Linked DNA regions of Saccharomyces cerevisiae S288C. The protein of the gene in region 1 interacts with the protein of each later gene in a biochemical or structural test. Each region holds a gene or a part of one and is shown on either strand. Other genes may lie near its edges. The genes, in order: DDI1 and RUB1.

The links.
Region 2: the proteins of DDI1 (region 1) and RUB1 are reported together in a solved structure, tested with the Saccharomyces cerevisiae proteins (one study listed by BioGRID).

What each region holds. Positions count from the first base shown.
Region 1 is NC_001137.3:454,357-458,388, forward strand, and holds DDI1 (Ddi1p), read left to right. Parts: upstream 1-1,962; coding exon 1,963-3,249; downstream 3,250-4,032. Other genes in the region: COX15 (Cox15p), read left to right, coding at 1-563; MAG1 (DNA-3-methyladenine glycosylase II), read right to left, coding at 790-1,680; putative ubiquitin-specific protease UBP5, read right to left, coding at 3,450-4,032. UniProt on the Saccharomyces cerevisiae protein: Aspartic protease. Appears to act as negative regulator of constitutive exocytosis. May act at the level of secretory vesicle docking and fusion as a competitive inhibitor of SNARE assembly.
Region 2 is NC_001136.10:732,806-735,662, reverse strand, and holds RUB1 (NEDD8 family protein RUB1), read left to right. Parts: upstream 1-1,738; coding exon 1,739-1,887; intron 1,888-1,960; coding exon 1,961-2,045; downstream 2,046-2,857. Other genes in the region: DOP1 (Dop1p), read left to right, coding at 1-762; MTQ2 (S-adenosylmethionine-dependent methyltransferase), read right to left, coding at 860-1,525; HPR1 (Hpr1p), read right to left, coding at 2,827-2,857. UniProt on the Saccharomyces cerevisiae protein: Ubiquitin-like protein modifier that can be covalently attached to lysine residues of target proteins. Activated by the dimeric UBA3-ULA1 E1 enzyme and conjugated by the E2 UBC12 to substrate proteins.

The DNA.
Region 1 (4,032 bases):
CGGTGTCTTTCCTTACCGCTATGAGTGGCGGTATGGTTGCCGGTTTGGATGCTGGTTGGGTCTATAACACCTGGCCAAAAATGGGTGAACGATGGTTCCCTAGTTCTCGTGAATTAATGGACGAAAACTTCTGTAGAAGAGAGGACAAGAAAGATCTGTGGTGGAGGAATTTGCTAGAAAACCCGGTTACAGTTCAGTTGGTCCATAGGACATGTGCGTACGTTGCGTTTACATCAGTACTAGCTGCTCATATGTACGCTATCAAAAAGAAGGCCGTAATTCCAAGGAACGCGATGACCTCTTTGCATGTTATGATGGGCGTCGTTACTTTACAAGCAACACTTGGTATTTTAACTATATTGTACCTAGTCCCAATATCGTTAGCTTCTATCCATCAAGCTGGTGCTTTGGCGTTGCTAACAAGTTCTTTGGTGTTTGCCTCTCAATTAAGGAAGCCAAGAGCTCCGATGAGAAACGTAATCATTACCTTGCCACATTCAAGCAAAGTAACTAGCGGTAAAATTTTAAGTGAAGCGTCGAAGTTAGCCTCGAAACCATTATAATGGATAAAGGTATTCTTATGAGAATTGACAGTATACTCGCTTTTCCGCTTTGTCGCTCCAATGGTTGGATTGTATGTGTGAGGCTTTTTCTTATTATATGTTGGTATCCCTACGAGAAGCTGTAAATATGAATTTCTTTAGTAGGCATCACACACAACAATAGGGTGTATTTATTTTTATTTTTTTTTTTCTTATATAAATGTCAGTAATACATGATATCTTTAAGTTAGGATTTCACGAAATTTTCTTCTGCCTTCATCATGGCATCTGTATTTGTGCTCGCGAGCCTCCAAAGTATGAACATAAACACAGACCTATACGGAGAAAATGTTTCAGAGCATTTTTCCATTATGTCGTCGTCATATATTTTCCAGTTGTATTTCTTATGCTTAATCTTACTCTTTTTAACTACTTTTCTTTCACGCATTAATTCTTTTTCCAATTCTGGCTTATCTGAAAGGTATTTTGAAAAACCCCTAGCAATACCTAGATCTTCAGGAGCAAATACATCCATTCTTTTCAATCCGGAGATCAAGAACATTTTGGCACTCCATGGGCCTATACCTTTTACATTCGTAACTAAACTTTCAATCACTTCCTCATCATTATCTTTTTGACCGAAGAGCTTTTCGATATCCTTATATTTTTCAGTAAAATAGACAGCAAGAGACTCTAGATATATCATTTTCCTTTTACTCAATCCACATTTTGCGATTTCTGCACATTTTGCTGGGTCTTTGAAGTCTTCGAAAAGGATTTTGTAATCAGGAAATGCACCGCCATAAAGACTGACAACCCTTGCCTTGATGCTTTCAGCTGCTTGGCCACTGATCTGTTGAGACAAAATTGTGCTTGCAAGCCTAATAAAATAATCTTCGAGTGTATTAGGGACTTGAGTCTCCTTCAAGTACAACGTAAATTCATTATTCTTAAGTATGGGAAAAAGTGATGGATCTTTCTCTAAAATGTGTTCGCAAGCCATATTGAACTTTTCTTCATGTCTAGCAATATATTTCTCAGGAAGAGCAACCTCTAGAGGTCGAGACCCTAATTCTTTTGCTATTTCCTTAACAGCGTCTGCTTTTATTAACTCATCATACTCCCTTTTTAGTTTCATTGAGACCAATCCCTCTCTAGCTTCTCTTGATTCTCAGTAAAAAATTAAAAAGGAAAAGTACCACTTCCATCGTCATATCAGAGGGCAGTGGCCAATTCTCATTGATTCATAGATAACTTAAACTTTATGTAAGAATTCCCGTCGCCACCCCGCCCTGTAAATTCATCGCCACCGAAAAGATAATAATACCAAAATGATATATAAAGTAGGTCGAATAAGAAAGTATACTTAACGTAGTTAACAAAGTACATACCAAACATAACAGCAAAAATATACGTAAAGATGGATTTAACAATTTCAAACGAACTTACTGGCGAGATATACGGCCCAATTGAAGTCAGTGAAGATATGGCTTTAACTGATCTAATAGCATTACTGCAGGCCGATTGCGGGTTTGACAAAACAAAACACGACTTATATTACAATATGGACATTCTAGACTCAAACAGAACTCAGTCTTTAAAAGAACTAGGGCTCAAAACCGATGACTTATTATTGATTAGGGGTAAGATTTCCAATTCCATTCAAACAGATGCTGCTACTTTGTCCGACGAAGCGTTCATAGAGCAATTTAGACAAGAGCTACTTAATAATCAAATGCTTAGATCACAACTCATTTTGCAAATCCCTGGATTGAATGATTTAGTAAATGACCCACTGTTGTTTAGGGAAAGATTGGGCCCGCTCATATTACAAAGACGTTATGGTGGCTATAACACCGCCATGAATCCTTTTGGCATCCCCCAAGATGAATATACTAGACTAATGGCCAACCCCGATGATCCTGACAACAAGAAGAGGATTGCAGAGCTTTTAGACCAACAAGCTATCGATGAACAGTTGCGCAATGCTATCGAATATACACCTGAAATGTTTACCCAGGTCCCTATGCTTTACATTAATATCGAAATAAATAACTACCCCGTAAAGGCATTTGTAGATACAGGGGCTCAAACAACGATTATGTCCACCAGGTTAGCGAAGAAAACTGGCCTGTCGAGAATGATTGACAAGAGATTTATTGGAGAAGCTCGTGGCGTAGGAACCGGCAAAATTATTGGGAGAATTCACCAAGCCCAAGTCAAAATAGAAACACAATATATTCCATGCAGTTTTACCGTCTTAGATACTGACATCGATGTTTTGATAGGACTAGACATGCTGAAAAGGCATTTGGCTTGTGTGGACTTAAAGGAAAACGTTCTTAGGATAGCAGAAGTGGAGACAAGCTTTTTGAGTGAAGCGGAAATCCCAAAAAGTTTTCAAGAAGGACTTCCAGCACCAACGTCAGTTACAACTTCGTCTGATAAGCCCCTAACACCCACCAAGACTAGTTCAACTCTACCACCACAACCGGGGGCTGTTCCTGCGCTTGCTCCAAGGACTGGTATGGGGCCAACACCTACGGGAAGAAGTACAGCCGGTGCTACAACGGCAACCGGGAGAACGTTTCCCGAACAAACGATTAAACAGCTTATGGATCTAGGTTTCCCTAGGGATGCTGTGGTAAAGGCTCTTAAACAGACTAACGGAAATGCAGAATTTGCTGCATCCCTCCTTTTCCAATGAGCAACCACTGATATTGTGATCGGCCTCTACGTATGTAGCCCATAACACAAATAGATAAGTATAAGGATGTACATACTTTCATTGTTTCGTCAATTGTTGTTTGTATTGTATATGATTGTACTTCTGTTAAGTATATAATATGCAGATTGTATTTGTGCCTCAATGTGCGCCATTCATGTGTTGCAAACCGGTAATTTGATTCAAAAAATTCTTTCGTAAAATAAAACATATGCACTGGGTGTGATAAATTCAGTACTAAACGTTATAGGACGATAAAGCGAGTCATCGAAAAAATACCAACCTTTTTTTGGTCCCTTATAAACGTATGAAGTATAGTGTCCCCCATACAAACTCCCCGAATGACATGCAACCCCATACAGTCTGTATCTAAATGGTGGTACTTGGCCCCTGGTAGGAATGTCCTCATTAACAATAGCTTCATGATTAAAATCTCTCGCCCAATATGGTGTAAGATCTAAGGAGTAAGGATATTGGACAAACACATTATTCTTATTCATTTGATTGTCAAATCGTTTCAAATTAATAATTAGTTTCTTAGGCAATCTAGTAATCTTCAGTTGTTTAGTGGAAGGCTGCTTTTTTAAGCATTTAGGACATGACCATTGTTCATCGACACCTAACCTTTCGCATTTGGTGAATTCCCGGAAACAGTCTAATATGTTACAAGTTTTAACGCGTGGGACAGGAACAGAAAGAACAGAGAATGTTTGGTAAGTTGTGGAGGTATGTTCACAAACTTGACATTGTAGCCTAGATGCGTAC
Region 2 (2,857 bases), on another chromosome or scaffold:
AAGTCAAAAATCTTGAACGATTTACTATTAGAAATTGGCTCCAAGCGTTCAAGTGTGACTCCGACTTTAATCACGTTTAACTTAGGAAGCGATTCTGAAGTCGAGTACAAGTGCCAAAACCTTTTGAAAATATCGTACTTGTTGATGGTATCGCCAAATGACGCATATTTGTTGCACTTTTCCTCTTTAATAAGTTGCATTTTCCACTATTTGGTGTCCAAAGATATCAAGCTCAAGGGAAGCTGCTGGATCTTACTAAGGGTTTTACTTTTAAGATTTTCAGAGTCCCATTTCAATGACTATTGGTCTATGATCAGTTACTGTTTACAAACTAATTTGCAAGAATTTTATGAATCACTTCAAATACAGTCAGAAGTCGATCCACAAACAATATTGCAAGTATGTAAAACTTTGGATTTGCTACTCTTACTCAACATGGAAGGCTTCACCTCTACGAATGAGTGGATCTTTGTTATTGATACAATAAATTGCGTATATAAAACGAACTCATTCGTCGCGCTGGTAGATGAAATCGCAGAATTCAAAGATTACGAAATAACCAAAACTGATGATCTTGAATTACCGACAACTTTAAAAGATGGTCTCCCATTATTACGAGGCATTCACAAAATCGAGAGACACACGCAACTAAGAAGCTTCTTCCAGAATTTGAGTTATCTACATTATGAGAAAGTTTACGGACTAGGGTCAGTTGATTTATATGGTTGTGGTGAAGATCTCAAAAAAGATATTCTGTCATGAGCATAGCTATGAATTTTTCTTTATAAACCGAAATATAGTTATACGCTTTGAGTAAAGACACAGGTTATCAATTATAACGTGAAAGGTTTTGCAACTGTCACCTTGTAAAGCTGTACACACTGAGGACTTCCCATCCCGCTTTTCTCGTTTCAATAAGTTTCACATTCCATTTGTAAGTATCGACAAACCTCTTAATGACTTCTTTAGGCTTATTTCTTGCACAAAATAATATATATGCAACACCATCTGGAGAAAGAATTTGTTCTAATTGTCGTAGCAGTTTATCAGTAATCGCCATCCCGTCTTTTCCACCCAATAACGCTAAATCTAGCCATTGGTCTGCCTCCTCTCTTGATCCTGGGACATCTGGCACACATTCTGCTGGCACATATGGTGGGTTAAATATTAGGACATCAACCTGATTATTCCGAATACTGGAGTTTAAATCAGCTTGAATCACTTCTAAAAAAGAACTTTTACATGAATTTAACTTCGCAGTATCCAAAGTTGCTTCGAGCGCCCATGGGTTGATATCAACAGCTAAGTGGATGGAATTTTCCTGCGGTATTATTTTGTTTTGCATTAGAAATGTTGTGACGATACCTGATCCCGAACCAATTTCGCAAACGATGGCCAAACGATTACCAAATTTCTGTTTCAAAAAATCATGCTCTTTTTCCAAACAGTCCAGTATGAGGAAGCTATCCTCAGCAGGCTCATATACTTTATCGTAATCGCATTTTACATAAGGGGTCGGTAGCATACTTCACCTTTCTCACCCTGTGTTAAGTTTATCAATATTATATTTCAGAGTATAATTATATCAATATTTATATGAAATCAAATTCCGATGGCGTCTTCGGGAAGGCAAACGAACAACTTTTAGCTGAAAAACCAAAATTCTGTTATTCAAATGAAGTATTCCGACAGAGGAATAAATAAAGGAAGGTAATTAACTTCCTTACAGCCGTAACCGATGATTGTTAAAGTGAAGACACTGACTGGGAAGGAGATCTCTGTTGAGCTGAAGGAATCAGATCTCGTATATCACATCAAGGAACTTTTGGAGGAAAAAGAAGGGATTCCACCATCTCAACAAAGACTTATATTCCAGGGAAAACAAATGTATGTTCATTCAGTGGTTAATTATCTTTTAAGTTTATTTACGTTTTTGAGACCTTACTAACGACCAGGATAGTGATGATAAATTAACAGTAACGGATGCACATCTAGTAGAGGGAATGCAACTCCACTTGGTATTAACACTAAGAGGTGGTAACTAGAACCATTTTCCGTCATTTATGGAATTTTATCGAAGGTGTTCATTAGAAAAGAAGACAAAACGAACATAAGTTCACTTGGACTTTGGAAGGCTACCGCCCCCAATTTGTCAAAAAAAAAAATACATACAATTTAGTCTATAGAGTCTGTTATAATAAATTAATTGTTTTTAGACGAGAAATGTGAACTAAAACTGTTTAGTATCTATCAAATTATCCGTTATAGCATAGTACGGCTATATATGGTCTGATTGCTGGTCTCATATGACTTTATGGTTTAAATTTCATAAAGCTGGCCATTGCATGGTTCGCGCTGGAAAGAGAGGAAAAGCGTGGTGATAAAGAGCAAACCAAGCATACTGTTATATGCGATTACAGACTATCTGACCAAAAGACATATTTCGCCATTTCTTCTCAATCATGTCTTCCAGGGCAATTTTGTAAGCACGATTGGATGTCCTCTTGTAGTATACCGAATTTCTCATTAAGAAAAGCATCCTTTGCGCTACAACTTTATCAAGTGGAAGTATATACTAAACTCGGAGCATGCTTTTGCCAACGATATCAGTCTTAGCAAAGGGACTTCTAAGGACGTTATTGACGCCTGATTAATCTAATCAAATATAGGTTTGTCATTTTTTTAAACCGAATGGATTGACTTTTGTTTTCATCATAAGTATTACTCTCTGATAGGATCTCTGTGGTACGCTAAAATCTATCTGAATTGTTTGGGACACTATGCATGAATTTCTTATCAGTTTAAAATTTCTATTAAGAGGATAATTTATTTCATATCTTGGGTAGATGAACCATTA